Linked DNA regions of Astyanax mexicanus. The protein of the gene in region 1 binds, or shares a complex with, the protein of each later gene. Links are inferred from orthologs where the notes say so. Each region holds a gene or a part of one and is shown on either strand. Other genes may lie near its edges.

Region 1 (8,368 bases):
ATTCTACCAGTGAAGCATAGAGCTACTTTGGGCTTGTTAATGGTGTAAAAATAGCAATTTCTAGCAATCTCTTGCATTGTAAGCCCGATGAGAGCATTGGCTAAAAGCGATGTATTTCGGAATAGTTGAGATGAATGGAGGATCGCTATTTGACAAAAGTTGAAACTCTTTATCACGTTTCACTACACCCCAAGTCCATTTCATGCTGAATTACCTACAGTATTTAACTCTACTCGACTTGACATCTGTTTCATTTTCTACTATCACATCCCCCACTCCCACAAATGTAGCTGGTGATGACATCAACACCTTTACTACCCTTATCAGTGGTGAGATATGTGATGACACAATAACAATGAAAACTGTTGAAGAGATCCTGTTCCTGTTTTGTATCGTTTAAACTGACAATTCTCTCTGACCAATTAGCAATCTCTTCCTTTTTCACAAAGTCCAAATTTTACAGCAAAAAACTTCAAAAGTGCGTTTTAATGGTCCAAAACATTTTAAGTGCAAGCTTGTGCAATTATCTGTGCAAATATATGGTGGATCATCAATTGAAGCATCCAATTCTGTTTACGTTCACAAAGAACCACAAATATATAGCTTCCCTTGGTAGTAAGCACTTGTACGCACGATGTAAATTAAAGTGAGTAAATGCAGATAAAACTATAAAGTTGTGAGCCTGGTTTACAGAACACAGATGGCAAAATATGTGTTGAATTTGGTGTAAAGGTTCCATTACATAAAATCCACTTTTTCCATCCCAAAACAAAACAATACTGAAATGTCCTTTAGATCTTTAGTCTGTTCTAAAAAGTGTAGAGTTGAGCACCATAAGTCTTCCACACTGCTCTTTAGGATCCTGAGCATTTAGTTTGAGCCTTAATGTGTCCAGGCTGCAATTACATTCCAATTCCTGTATATCCTTGGAGGAGCTGTAAAAGCTAAGGTCAGATGCAGCCAGAGAAACCCTAACAAATGACTGCCATCTTCAGGTGTAAAGGAAACCAAGCACATCTACACATCCAGGTGAGGAGAGAGGAAAGCTCAGTTCTTGTTTTTTATATGTGAGGAGCATAAAATAAGACTTATAGAATATGTGTGAAGGAACGTAGGGGTGTAGGTTGATGAATATGCTTGTTATGCTTAATCAATCAATCCATATATTATTATTGGTATTTACAATACCAATATACAATATATTTGGAAAAGTGCTTGGACCCCTATAATAGCATCATGCTGCCTTTCCCAGCTGACTGAGCAGCCAGTGTGTTTACCGCACTATGGAAACTGCTGCATAATGTATTGCTGCTATAGGAATAACACAGCCTTGAATTTTGCATTAGCATTCAAATACGGGGCTTCTGATTGGATGCTGGTTCTGCTACTACTGTAAAGTGCTACTGTAGTCAGTCAACTACAGGCTGATCTATGATGTGAGCTCTACCTGTCTATAATGAGCATAATGAGCAGGGAGGCGGTGGGTGACGGTGTCACGAGCTGTGTGCACGTGGGATGGGTGGTGAAGAAGGGGGGTTGCTTTATTTTTGTACTATATAACACCTGATTGGAGGGGGCATATGAATATGATCGTATTTGGATTGTTTTGATGCTTTGAGGGGGGCTTCAAGACAAAATAGACAGACGTAGCGCACGAGCTACATTGCAACACTGCGTCCTTACGACCATTTATGTATGCATTTACACGCATTTACGATCCTGGCTGGATCTGTGGGATACGCACACTCTCTGGGATACGCCACAACACGCGCGTACGCACACTCACGCACACACACACACAAGACACGACCCTGAAACAAACACTCTCCCACGTACCTCAGTGTCGTAGATCTTGGTGATGAGAGAGAAGGCGTACTTGCGGGATTCGCGGATGTGGCGGATGGCGAGCTGCACCGCGGGCTCGATGCCCTGGCTGATGCTGCTCATCAGCGCAGACTCGTTCATGGGCATGAGCACCATGATGGGCACGTCCCTGGCCGACCACGCTGCGTCCACGCTGTGGCCGGTGTAGTCGTTGCACACCTTGGCCGTGGCCAGGGTCGCCAGGAGCAGGCAGCTGGAGGCGAGGAGCAGGGACGGAGCCATGCCGCTGCCACTGCCGCTGCCACTGCCGCTTCAGCCGCTACTGATGCTGCCGCTGCTGTCTAGGCTGATGATGATGCTGAGGCTGGTGCTGGTGCTGGTGCTGATGCTGCTGCCGCCGCCGTGCGCGCGCGCGCAGGGGAGGAGGATGGGGGTGAGCTTAAGGAGCCGCGCCGGACTCAGCGCGCGGGCATTGCGATGCTCTGAGAGGAGAAGCTGAGGGGTCTGGAGAGAGAGAGAGAGAGAGAGAGAGAGAGGGAGGAGGAGGAGGGAAGAGGAGAAGAGGAGGAAGAAGAGGAGGAGGAGGGTGGCACGGGGGTATAGGTGCTCGTAGGCGCGCTGGCGGTAGAGTCGGAAGAGTGATGATGATGAAGGTAGCTTTAATTCCACAGGAGAGGAGGATGAGGAGGAGAAGGAAGAAGAAGAAGAATATATATAGGGAAGGAGAGTTTCCCCCTACCCCCTCCGCGTGCCACTCCGGTGCCCGTGCAGCTCCGGTCCCGTGTGTGTGTATATATATAATGTTGTACTTTCCTCTGCTCGCACGCGACCCCCTTCCCCGTTTAATCCGTGCGAAGTTGCGAAGCGCGAGTCAATGTCGCTCCGTGAGCGAGAGAGCCACTGAGGCAAGGATGCAGCGGGTCCAGCGCGCAAGAGCGAAAGCACGAAAGCGCGAGCCCGGAATCCCCTCTCTCTCTCGCGCGCGCGCAGGTTAGCTCGCACCTCCAGAAAGGCGAATATTATACAAAGTCCGCGGGAAGCTCAGCGTACAGTCCTGACGCACAATTCCCCAAATGATGATGAAGAAGAGCTGAGGAGGAGGAAGATGATAAGGAGGAAGAGCGGCCTGCCTGCACGCGCTGCTTCTGCTGCTTCTGCTGCTGCGGAGAGCGCGCGCCTGAGTGGCTCAGAAAAAAACACGAGGGAGGGAGGGGGAGAGAGAGAGAGAGAGAGAGAGAGAGAGAGAGAGCAGAGTGTGCGCGCATAAAATAAAGAAGGAGAGAGAGAGAGAGAGAGACAGAGAGACAGAGAGAGAGGTAGAGAAGTAGGAAGAGAGCTTAGAAAAGAGAGAGAGCTCAGAAAAGAGAGAGAGAGCACACATAGAGGGAGAGAGAGAGCAGGCAGAGTGTGCGCATAAAATAGAGAAGGAGAGAGAGAGAGAGAGAGAGAGAGAGATGAAAACAGAGGGATGCAGAGTGAGCGCAAGAAGGATAGGTGGAGAGAGAGAGAGAGAGAGGTAGAGAAGTAGGAAGAGAGCTTAGGGATAGGTGAAGAGAGAGAGAGATCAGAAAGAGAGCGAGAGCTCAGAAAATAGAGAGAGAGAAGTGCACGCGCAAGATTGTTGATGTAACAGTCTCGTGCAAGCTACCTATCTAACGTCTCCTAGATGCTATGAAAGTCACATTTAAACAAAATGATGGATGCAAGCATTAGCGTGGTTTAGTTTGCAAGACTTGTGTTTTGATTTAAAGCAGATATTCACTGAGCGAGATTCACTGTCTCTTTCAGAGAATATTATGTAAGGAAAAGGTGTTCCTGAGCATCTGATATGCAGAGATTAGGTTGCAGGAAATTGCACATAAATCGTTCTGCAGTCCAGCACTACACTTCCATTCCAATAAACAGTGCCACCTAGCAATACAGCAATGCCAAATGATATTGATGGGCTGCACCTTTTGCTTTTACATTGTTCTGCATTAGGATCATGTAATTCAGCAGTGGGAGATTATCTCTTTTATCTCTTTTTGGAAGTTCAGAGTCAGGGTGCTGTCCGTGGTCCTGATCTGGCTGCACCAGATGTATATGTACTCAAACAGTATCTATTGACTGCTGGAATGAAGGAAGGATGATAAAAAGTAAATAAATTAAAATTATAGAAATTAACAACTAGTAGTGCAATTCTCCTTTAAATAAGCACTTTTATGTTTTCTGGGTACCTGGAGAAGTGCCCTATACAGCACTGCATCCTTTTTTCAGACAGGGCATCCCTTTTGGACACTGTCTGGTAGGGATGGCATAGAAGACACTCTGTAACTGCACCTTCTTCTATTGAAATGGTAAAAGTCCATCCATAGATGGACACTTATTAAGATGCATTATTAAATATTATTGCTCTATAGGGCACGTCATTATAAGTTATTGTAAGACAGCCATAGTAGGGACTTTATTACATCGCCATAAGAGAAGCAGCCACTAGGGCACTTTGTTAATGCCACTCTAGAGGGCACTTCAGTAACACTTTTTTTAACCATAAAAATAATGTAAAATTTTGACTGTGAATATGCAATGTGCAATAAGCAGTATTATATTGACAAATCAATTTTACATCAACGTCTCAATAAAGGCATCTCCCTTAACATGCATTCACATACCAGTAGAGAACAATGGTCCAATATAGATATTGGTCAATAGTTTGGACACCCCGGCACACCGGTCACCGCTCCAGTACTGTGTGTGTATGGAGGAGCTATTGGATAAACTAGATATTATTGGTCAAACATTTGGACTCCCCGCATGTCCAGAGCAACCTAGCATACATAAGCGCTCTCAAAAGTTTGGACACCCCGGCACGCCAGCCCATGCATCCAGACCAGTCTAGCGACCATAGCCATGCTCAAACTTTGGACACCCCCAACAGCTTAGCAATCACCTAGCAACACTTCAGCAACCAGCTAGCAACCGCTTAGCAAGACAATAGCAACCAGCAGATGCACCAAAGCAACCAGCCATGAATCAACACTGCAATTATACTCAAAGTTTCGGCAGGAACTACAATCTTGTCACATGAACAGTTCCTTTCACATACAGTATAGACAGATAAAAAAAACTGGGTTCTAGGGAACCACTCATATAACACAGTCCTTATCAGGTGGATCCATCGAGCACTGGAGTTTTCACACAGCAAATCTAGCCAGAACTCATTCTGCCCACTGCAGACTGTGAGCTGCTAATACAATGCAGTATTCATCAGATGTCTGCACGCTCGAGTGTCTCCCATTGTACCGTGGTTTTATACTAAGTCCATCTGAAATCTGACAAAAGCGAGATCCGTGACTCAGCACTGAAGCGTATTGTCTGTGTGAAATGATAAATGCTCATCCACTTGTCCAATAGAATTTGATCTAATAGACCAGAATGACCAGAAGCTGATGCACATGTGTGTTAATGTACTGTGGGAGTGTGCATTTGGTTTTGAATGGCATTTTTCTTTTTGCTAGAGGCTGTAAAATCATAACAATAACTCATTAACTGATTGCATGTCAGGCCTTAATAAGTCATCATACTTCCATTCATCCAGCCATCCATCCATCTTCCTGTCTGCTTCAGGGTTGGTCAGGGTCAAGATGGGCTCAGCAGTACCTAGGATCATCGACTGCAGGCATACACAGCTTCTACAGTGTACCACAATTACTCATTCACTCAGGTCTAGGGGCAAGTTAGAATAGGCAGTTGATCTACAGACACGGGGGGAATTTACCTAACTCCTTTCAGACAGTGAACAGAGCCAGGATTGAACCTACAACCCCAGATGCCCAGTGTCCGGAGCTGCTGCACTACTGCACCACCCGTCACTGTACTTTATTCATTTATTTTTCCAGTTGTTTGATTCTTTTTCTTTTTCCTAATATCAGGCATGGGCTAGAGGGAGGAAAGGGGCCTCAACACTGAGCGGTAAAGCAGTGGAACTGTGTACTCTTGAATGATGGTGCTCTGTCTAATACTTTTGGGATGAGTTGGACAGTTGGTGACAAGGTGGGTATAGGGGTTGGAGATCAATAAGCATGCTCTAGACAGTGAATGTATTCAAATTTCTCAGCAATGCTCCAAATTCTAATAGAAAGCCTTTCCTGGACAGTAGACAGCTGCTTAAAAAAAGATCTCAAAAGAAACCATAAATAAGTAGGGGCAGGGGCATCGCCTGGACTGGGCTTCCGGGGCTTTAGCCCCGAATAATTTTCCAGCAGCCCCGAATCGTTTCGCTCAGCTCAGCTGTATTATTACTGAAGAGACAGACCACTAGCCGTGCGAGAATGATAAAACTCTTCATTCTAATCACAGAGCCAGTTCATGGATAAAGTTTCACCTTTTAGGAGAAACAACCAATCAGCTTGCTGGTTTTGCGGAGCGTGGTGGGCTAGTAGGGAAGCCCCCCATAGACATCATAGAAGTTTCTGTCTGTGTATACGAACAATTCTTGCCATATGCCACTGGTCATGATTATTACTACTCACTGAACTGTTCACTGTAAGTCATATTATAAATATATATATATATATATATATATATATATATATATATATATATATATATATATATATATATATATATATATATATATATATGAGATATATATATGGTTAATATATATGATTTATATGATGTATAAATCTCTCAGTACAAAGAAGACACTGCGGATTAAATAATGTTAAAAGCTTGCACAACTGAAATGGAAATGGAATGTCGCATCCATCCAGCACCTCCTATCAGGCCTCACTTAAGCTCTAATACTTCCCATCACTTTGCCATGATAATGCTGGCCAGTGTTGAATCTTGTTCACAAGATAACACCTCACAACTTATGCAGGCGTGGGCTTTTTCCAAGCCACCTCCTGAGGTAACACATCATTATGCTTTCTCAGTACTTCAGGTATGTCAGTGTATACAGTATGTATTATATGGATTCCCTTATATATTTGTAACAGGCTAAATATGAAAACAATCTTTGAGCAATCTTTCTGCCAATAATACACATGTAGACACGCCCACACCAGCAAACAGACAAACAGATACACACTTACACACACACACCTACAGGCTTGTCTGACATGTCTGTGCTTAATAGAGATTAATAGGACAGCCCAAGGATATCCTTCAGTGCACCTCTGACAATGCATTCCTGCTGGATGCAGTCAGAATTTTGATCATCAAATATTCAAAACAGCACGAATGAAAAATTAAACCTTAAAAAATCCCCATCCATTTTTTTTCAGTGTCTCCCCAGCTAGCCATTTATTAAAAGAAACGTGCCATGAACATGGAGACGTGTCGCCTGTGAATGATAATCCCATTTGATCCTGGGGAAATATATATCCGTTCAGGCGTGAGATTTACAGCATGTCATTTTTAAAACAGGAAGCGGCTTCTTAAAGGTTCTAGGGTACTACGCAGATTCAAACACTCAAACAAGCCTTCCAGCATCTTCAGGAACAGATCCTTAACATTCTCTGCTGTCTGAACAAACCATTCACCAACAATGCAAGCAGTAATATTTAAAGTGTCCCAGACGACACACACTCACACAATAAGAGTTATGCCAGGGACACTCTGATGAATTGCCTCAGATCTATAAATGCAAGGTCACAGGTTCAATTCCCGTGAGGATACATAAAGGAAATAAGATTAAAAGACAGAGAGCTGCAGGTTTTAATATCCCTTGCTGTCCAACATTTACAACACCCTACAATAAGACAGGGCCCAGAGTTGTAATGAAAAGATTATATGACATATTAAACCGATTCCTAATGTTTCCAGGGAGAGCTTCAATAAAGAGGTTTTACCTGACAGCAGATAGATTTGTCCTTTAGTAGATCTTTATACAGACCAGTGGGGACATTTCATCTTTTTAAAGATCAGATCTAGAGGAGCTTTGGGTTTAAAAGACATTTTTCTCATAAGCAGAAGCTCCACAATCAATTTTAAAACAGTCTAAATCTGAATATTACATTACATTACATTTGGTAGACACTTTTTTCCAAAATGTAATGAATAATGAAGTACGTTTAGCAATAAAAGACATAGCAGTTCAAGGTAAAAAAAAAAAAAAGGGGGAGGCCAATAAGGGAAATAGTGGGATGGAGGAGGAAAGGAGGGGAAGAAGGAAATTAGGGTTAGAAGTAGTTAGTTTGTTAGAGGTGTTAAGAGAGTAAGTGCTCTTTGAAGAGCTCTGTCTTCAGGAGTTTCTTGAAGATAGTGAGGGATGCTCCTGATCTGGTAGTAGAGGGTAGATTGTTCCACCATTGGGAAACTATTCTATTTTGACTATTAAAAAGTAAGCTTACAAAACAAATTAACTTCAGTGTGGAGAATTTTTAGCTTTTTTGTAGGATGGGTAAAGCTTCTATATCAAAAGGGTTCCCCTAGGCTTTGGGTCCCTAATCTTAATGCAACCCCCAATGGAGTCCTCACATAGTCCCTGTGGGGTTCACGAGAGTTATGCTAATTAGAGCCTATTTTCCGTGATGCACAGCGAATCAGATCCAAATCA
Region 2 (7,968 bases), on another chromosome or scaffold:
CGTACAACACAGTCTAGGGTTAAGGAGTAAATATTTTATTACTCTATCCTGGTTCTGTTTTTATTTTTATTTTTTTTTTGGAAGGTGGGCGTGTGTTTGGTGGAGGGTTTAACCTAATATCTGGTGCTTGCTACATATTTTTGCATGTGCATACTGTGAGACTTTATTTTGATCTTGTCAAAAATTAAGAAAATGATGTTTAACACATGCTATAATCTGTGCCCCAGCCAATTAGGAGGTGGACTACCATTTACCACCACCACTATCTCTTCCAGATGCACAATTCCAGAACTATTTGCATTTTATTTCAGATGCAAGTAGCTCTTCCCTATGTATTTTGCATTACTGTGGGAAATCAGCGTTCATTGTAACCACACTCTGAAACCAAATCATTCAAAGTGAAAATAAACTTTGATATGTTTATCTACATGTATCTACATTTCATACTGCATATTTAAAAACTACCTATGCATTTTGGCCACACCCTAAAATCTTTTTTTTTTTTTTTGTAGCAAAAAACTCCTTATTTTCTCCTTGAAAACTGTTCTCCAGTTCTCCAAGAACTGGTAATCAATGCAATCTGTAGCACTACAAGTATCAGCACTATCTTTCAAGACTAATAGCTTACTGGTACAAGTACACCAAGGTAGTTGTACTCTCCTAAAAACTCCTAAAATATGTATAGAATCATTTTTCATGGTTCCCCCTTTATTTTTTGGAAGGGGGGGGGGTGGTGTATGTTAAGGGTAGGGGTACAATCTGGTGGTTGATACTTTTTTTGCATGTGCCTACTGTAAGACTTAATTTTTATTTTTTATCTTTTTTGTCCAAATAATATAGAAAAGAAAAAAAATCATCCACCCACAAGCCACGAGACTCTGGCTACAAACTAAGCAAGCGCGCCCTCTACTGGCGACTGGGGGATCTACTGGCGTCAGTGTGTGTGGTTTTATTAGTACTGTGTAAAGCAGCTCGTGCAGAAGTGAAATTTTAAGGTGCAGCATTTAAATCATCATCAGCTCGAGCGCGCGCTCGTTAGGACTTACGGTAAAAGACGTACTCCGTGTAACTCGACCACACTTTGTCGTCCGTGTGCTGATTAACGAAGGAGGCGGTGACGGAGGAGTTGCACGCCACCATCTGGAAGCCGCACTCGGAGAGCATGTCGAAGGAGCGCTCCAGGTGCTTGAACTTCAGGTAGAAGCGGGACGTGTAGCGCTCAGGGGTCCGGTCCGGGTCCCTGCTCTCGTTCAGGGTCTCCCCGAAGACCTCCTTGGCCAGGGCGATCCTGCCGCAGATCATGATCCGCGGAACGCGCCTGAAGCGCGCGTCCGTCTGGCTCTCCCGTCCAGCCGTACACGATCCCCGGTAGCCGACCGTGATGAAGCCGCTCCGCCGGTCCGCTGGTACTAACGAGGGCGGCGGGCAAGCGCGCTGATCGCTGCCCTGAGAGCCGTCCTCGTAGTCGCTGTGCAAGTACTCCTCTGGGCTGGGCTTGGGCTCCTCGGGCGTCAGCAGTTTGACCAGGTCGGGAAGCTGGAAGTATTCGGCCTCCTTCCTCAGGCGGCCCTTCTCGGGAAAGTGGTCGGGCAGAACCACCTGACGGTCCCTGAGGTAGTCCAGAACATAGCGGAACAAAAAACCGTCCCGGTCAATGAAGTAGCGGCCCTTGGGGTCCCGGGCGAGGTCGTTGGACGCGTTACTTTTGGTGGAGAACAGCTTGCCCAGGAAGGAAGCTGGGTGGCTGGTCAGGGTGGAGTGGCGGGTGTAGTACACCTGCCCCCCGACGTTGAGCTCAATCACGTCTGGGAAGCTGTTCTGGACGGACCCCTGGTCTTTATTGGCCGTGGGCTGAGTCCTGCAGTTCCCACTCAGAGCCATGGTTTCGGTCATGGGGAGAGGCAGATCTGATGCGATGTGATGTGATGAGATGAGGATGATGAAGATGATGCTTGCAGGCTGGCAGATCCACCTATATGTATCTGTTGTTGGTGGAGCCGAAAAAAACAACAACCCAAAAAACAAAAAAGTTTCTCCCAAGCCAAAAAAAAAACAAAAATGGTAGAAATATAAATAAATAAAATAAAATAAACTAGGGTCACTGGGGTGGTGCCCCTTTTGCCACCTCTCGAAGCTGAAGGATCATTCTGTACCTCTGAGGAAGGTACATCTGCACAAAAACAGTGTACAGAACCCGTACAGTACCGCTCTTTCGCGCAGTATAGTATCCCGTGCAAGCGCGAGTCTTCTCCGGCTTCTCCAAATCGATTTGATTGCGATTAATCAAACAGACAAACAAAATAAAAGCAGAAAGCATTCACAGACCTGAACGCCCTGGAGTGATGAGTTTGGGTGGAATGCGCCATGCAGTCCAAACCTCCAAAATAGGATCCCTTATGGAAAGCGGTTAAAAAATTAAATAAACATAACGCTGATAAATATATCCGTGCGTAAAACTGGTAAAACTGTAGGCTAGCCCACCTCCAGTTGGGAGGGAGGGGGCTTCTCTTCTTCTTATGTAAAGCGGAGCTTCAGTGGATTGATAGATAGAGGGATGAACTGATGGATGGTCTCAAATAGAAATAACACACTCCTTCTCATATAGAAGCCGGTCAAAATATGTATAGTCTATTCCTCTTCCAAAAGAAAAAAAGCAGCAGTGCTTCTGTAAGTCCACCGACTTCCAACTTCAACTGAAGTTGAACCCGTTAACGCGCATCCAACTTCTGAGCACGGAAAACGGAAAGAAAGCCGGCGCGTGGATGCGGTTTGAAGGTATAAAAAATATGATAGTCCCGGTTGTAACTTCAAAGAGAGAAACAGCGCGCGCGCACTTCTTTCTTCTTTATCAGGGACCGTCCGTGTGGTCCAGCACCGCGCGCGGATTCTGCGAACCGTATCAGTCCTAGATTTTAATCCCGGTTGTCCTGGATTGCATCCCGGTTTTTGTTGTTGTTGTTTTTTTTTTTACCTCTTTGCCTCTGAAAAAAGAGGAGTATGCTGATTTTGGTCCGGTGGATGCGCGCGCCCGGTGGAGGAAAAGGAGGAAGAAGAGGAAGGGGAGGAGGAAGAGGAGGAGAAGAGCAGGGGAGCAGCTCGAGACTGCGCACCGACTCTCTTCCCGATCAGGGTGGTGCCTGAAAAAAAAAAAAAAAAGAAAAGGCTCAGCTGATGTTTCCTCAGCGGTTTGTGGAGGATGGGGGGGGGGGAGGGGGGTGGGGGGGGGAGGGGGTGTGGGGGGGGGTAGAAAAAGCATAATGGCTTATAAAGAATTACATCATCTTAAAGCAGTACGCGTGTGAACGATCAGCGACTATAGTTCTCCGCTATTAACTGTGGTTGATTAGAGTAGAATATAAAACAGAATGAATTGTATTATTCAAATAGTGATTTCTACATGTTTTTCACAGTTAAATTATCAGTGCTGTGCTAATAAATCTGATTATTAACTTGATCATCATTAGAAGTTTGGAAACATTGCTTTTTGTTTCGTTGAGCAGCTGTCATTGCTAAAAGCTAGACATTATATAAATATAAAATACATATAATTTTGTTATTGGCAGTTTGGAAGAAATGTTGTCAGTAGTTAAAATAAGCTTAAATAAGATTAAAGCCAACATTGTGGAGAGGTTTTTAGTTTTTTTGTATATTGTCATGCCCCTGTGTAATGTCAAATTAGGTATGTGTTGCTTCAGTCGGGAAGTATAATTCAGTGTAATTTACACTATAGAAGTTTATAGGTTTTTTTTCATGAGGGCGGGTGGGGGGAGGGGAGGTTGAAGTAAACTCAGAACCAATCAGAATCTCTGTTTCGGATGGGGGTGGAGCAACAGAAGACACATATGTCAGAGAGTCATAAGCAGTATATTGCCTTTGGAAAAGGTGGAACTTCTCCCAAATTAAGAGTTCTGGTTTAGAGAAAGAATTGCATCAGTTCCTTCCTCCAGCAAATCATTTTTACTACAAGTCAAACCACAAGCTTTTTACACTGATTTCTGTAATAATTGTAGAATAAAAATAAACAAGATTTTCTAAAATGTTACATTTCACCAAAGTACTCTTGAAACACTCTTGGAACACAATGGATTTTTTTATTTTTTAATAGCATCTAATGAAAAAAATCCTATCTTGATGTTGCAATGCTATAGCATCCAAGCTAAACATTTTTAAGGTGAGAAATAATTCAAACATGTCTCCAAACTATCTGATTAATATATGATTTCTCTTACCCCTAACCCCAACAGTGTTGTAACAATTCTGGAAACACCTACACATATCCAGCTACTTTAAAATATAAAATGCAGTTTTCTCTCACTTTATTATTTTTTTATTTGTGTATCTACACAAAGACGAAAGTGCTTGCATTAGTACACTAGTACTGTGTTATAGTATCTCATTAAGAGAGACATCAAAACCCCACAAAGAAGGAAGAAAACTTAAGAGTTTAAGAGGTTTAATCCCAAATGACGCACTACTGCCTAAGTAGTTTACAATGCGAATCAGGAAAATATAGTTTCTAAATCTGGATAAAGCATGATATATTGGTAATAGTACAGTTTTTGCTCGACCAAATATGACAATGAAGTTAACTGTATAGGGAGTAAAAAGGTAGTTGAGATTCAGGCAGAAATTGCATTGTGACGTCTGTGTTTTTTAAAAGCCCTGTTTTCCCTGTTTACATAATACACAAAATGCAGAAAACATAGATTTCAAGCATCTCTACCTTATTGGATGTTTCTGAACAGCTCCATGTTTAACAAAAAAAATAATTTGGCCTGGGATATGTTGGTATTATATTGGTATGGTATAAGCAGATAATAAGATGAATGGATGCTGTGTTAATTAATGTACTCTCAACAACACCTCTATACACAAGACCTAAGATACAATCCAAAAAGTCTTCCAAAAGTATTGGAACAGTGAGGCAGATCCCTTTATTTCTGCTGTAGACTGAAAACATTTGGGTTTGATGTTAAAAGATAAATAATGGAAATAAAAGCTGAAATGTCAATGTCAATTTTCAATGTCAAATTCAAATGTTTTCAGTCTACAGCTAAAATAATGGGATTGACCTCACTGTTTCAATACTATTGGAGGGCACTGTTTGTATGTTAACTTCAGTATCCTTTCATAGCGTAGAATAGTCAATGTTGGCTGCTCAACTATCAAGTATGTAACCAAATATTCCAATGCTTATTAGTTTAGCTTATTAGTTAGTCCAGCGGTCTAAAGCGCTGTCACTACGAGTGGGAGGTCGCAGGTTCGAACCCCCGCTCATGCAGCTTTGCAATCAGCTGCCGGTGCTAAGAGGAAGCAAAATTGGCCCTGCTCCCTCCGGGTGGGTAGATGGCGCTCTCTCCCCACATCACTAAAAGGATGATGTTGATCAGCACAGGGCATATGTGAGCTGATGTATCTGAAACTAGTCACTGCACTTTCCTCTGAGCACGCTGTGGTGCTTCTTGGTAAGGCATGTGTTAGTCTTCACCCTCCTGGTGTGTTGGGGCATTAATAGTGATAGGGGAGTCCTAATAAGTGGGTTGGGTAATTGGCTGAGCAAAATTGGGGAGAAAATGGGGAAAAAAATTAAATAAAAAAAAAATTCTCTAATACCCTAATTTTGCTGTAACACTAGAGCTGCAACGATAAGTTGACAAAATACATTTTTCGATCATAAGAATTTGTTGACTCAGAAAGTCTACTAATTATTCTATTGTAATTGTAATAAAGTAAAAGACTTAAATGGCTTCTGACCATTTAAGGGCATTTAAATTTCACATTTATCTGTTTGTCATTTTAAAACTACAAAGTAAGTAGAGAGAGTGGATTCCCAGGCAGCCTCTATCTCTCTTTCTTTGCTCACACAGTGGAGGGCATGTCAGAAATAATTGTTTAATTGACTAATCGATTAATTGAAAGAAAAAAAAAACTCTCAAAATAATCAATAGTTTCAGCCCTACCTAAGACTAAGACTAATTTTCTTATGAAATTGTATTATATTTGTATATTTGTACTCTTGCATTAGGAACCACTGGCCCACTCCTTCGACTTGCTATATGATTTCACAGACTTTGATCAGTTGCTCAGGGGGTCCGTTGGGGTTTAAACAGTTTCCAGCGTCTGATAGGTTTTTCCTCTGGAGCTGGATGTCATCACAGTCATGGTGAATTTTGTAAAGTCGTCTTGCCCTGCCCTGCAGCCACAGTTTAATGAACTAATGCCCACCTGAAATGGAAAAGCGTTTTCAGCACCCTGGACAGCGATCAGTCCACACCCACCAGCCTTTCTCCAAAAAAACCTTTATAGAGCTAATATAATCAGCACAGTCTAAAGCACAAACAATACCACTCTGTGTTATCTTTCCCTGTGCTCTGCACTTCCACAAACTACCATGTTCCTGAGAGAGGGAGTGAGTTGGGCATGGAGTTAGCAGGAATCTCTGTGCATTCATTTGTAAGTAGGCCAGAGCTGTAATCATGAATACATGCATGCTTCTACCTCTCAAGAGCTGCTCTTTTCTGCTGCTGTGGAGTGCAGCAGTTGCCTGGCTGTCTTTAAATAGCTCAAAGTGGATGTTCGCTGCTGGTGGCTTTGCTTTCGTTCACTTCTGCTTTTAATGGCCAACAAATAACGTTATGTTCGCCCTGTCATTGGAATCAGTCATTTTTTTTCTGTATTGTTTTTAAATTAAGAAATTATTTTAATATTTTCCTAAAGCTTTGGAACATTAGCTAACCAGTTTATCGAAACATGTGCAACAAAAGTACTACGCAATAGTAATATGCAATAGGTCCTACCTGCTTGTCAATTAATGTCTAACCCGACCTTCCCATTATTCATAAAATGCTTCTTTACATGAAGTTTTCTGCAGTTCAGCACCTGAAAGCCAGGAGTGCACATGCTCTTGGTGATATTTATTGGGCTACACCTACAGAAGTTGTTTGTGATGTATGTGGATCGCAACATCTCTGTATTGTAGAGGTTCCTCATAGAGTTGTAAAGAACATTTAATCGCCTCCCTTTTCATTTTCTATGGGGGATAGGTCTGGTGAAGTATGGAGCTAAATTAGGGTCAAAAGTTTTGCCTGTTGTTTTCAGGTTTCAGACTTTTTTTTTGGCCCTGATCTTGCGTGGGGGCGTGGTATCATAGGAAAGGGGCGTGGCATATGGTTGAGGACCTACTCCGGAGGACCCTGTCAATGTGCCTGCGTAAAATATATATCTGTACATTGAGAACATACAGATAGTATATAGCAGGGGTGTCCAAACTTTTTTTGTTGGGGGCCAGAAGGAGAAATATATTTGGTCACGGGCCACAGACTCTATAATAAAACAAATAATTAAATATACTACTTTAAATAATACATTTTACTGATTACTTTCATTTACACACCATTTTACTTGACTTACTATCTTTCACAATGTTGTGTAAACCAAGATTTTTCAAATTGATGTTTCATTTTATGATGTCTCTTAATATTAAACTCCTTAATTACGGCAACTTTAAGACTCTTTGGCCCGTTTTTCTGCTCTAAAACTGCGCACTCTCTCCGCTTTTAGACTCTTTTGTCCCGTTTTTCTGCGCTAAAACTGCGCACTCTCTCCGCTTTTAGACTCTTTGGCCCGATTTTCTGCTCTAAAACTGCGCACTCTCTCCGCTTTTAGACTCTTTTGTCCCGTTTTTCTGCGTTAGAAATGCGCACTCTCTCCGCTTTTAGACTCTTTGGCCCGTTTTTCTGCGTTAGAAATGCGCACTCTCTCCGCTTTTAGACTCTTTGGCCCGTTTCTGACACCTAGCGTTCAAACTTTGAATCTCACATTATAAAAATCTGTTTAACAGAGGGCCAACTTTCATTCTATTTCTAAAATACCTCGTGGGCCGCTTCAAAAAAGGAAATGGGCCGCAAATGGCACGCGGGCCGTAGTTTGGACACCCCTGGTATATAGTAATAGTAATAGTGATAATAA

What was found.
Region 2: the proteins of gabbr2 (region 1) and kctd16b are in contact, whole or in part, in a crystal structure (PDB 6M8R), measured with the Homo sapiens proteins. The link is inferred for Astyanax mexicanus from reciprocal best matches to the Homo sapiens genes GABBR2 and KCTD16. Residues at the interface, in NP_005449.5 of Homo sapiens: Ile882, Asn883, Ile888, Gln889, Arg891, Leu892, Ser893, Leu894, Gln895, Leu896, Pro897, Ile898, Leu899; in NP_001357415.1 of Homo sapiens: Asn30, Gly32, Gly33, Gln34, Val35, Tyr36, Asp64, Leu65, Ala66, Lys67, Asp68, Ser69, Arg72, Phe74, Gly79, Phe80, Arg83.

What each region holds. Positions count from the first base shown.
Region 1 is NC_064410.1:47,770,211-47,778,578, forward strand, and holds the start of gabbr2 (gamma-aminobutyric acid type B receptor subunit 2), read right to left. Parts: upstream 3,031-8,368; 5' UTR 2,107-3,030; coding exon 1,837-2,106; intron 1-1,836. UniProt on the Homo sapiens protein: Component of a heterodimeric G-protein coupled receptor for GABA, formed by GABBR1 and GABBR2. Within the heterodimeric GABA receptor, only GABBR1 seems to bind agonists, while GABBR2 mediates coupling to G proteins.
Region 2 is NC_064424.1:21,114,160-21,122,127, reverse strand, and holds the start of kctd16b (BTB/POZ domain-containing protein KCTD16b), read right to left. Parts: upstream 3,077-7,968; 5' UTR 1,894-3,076; coding exon 1,047-1,893; intron 1-1,046. UniProt on the Homo sapiens protein: Auxiliary subunit of GABA-B receptors that determine the pharmacology and kinetics of the receptor response. Increases agonist potency and markedly alter the G-protein signaling of the receptors by accelerating onset and promoting desensitization.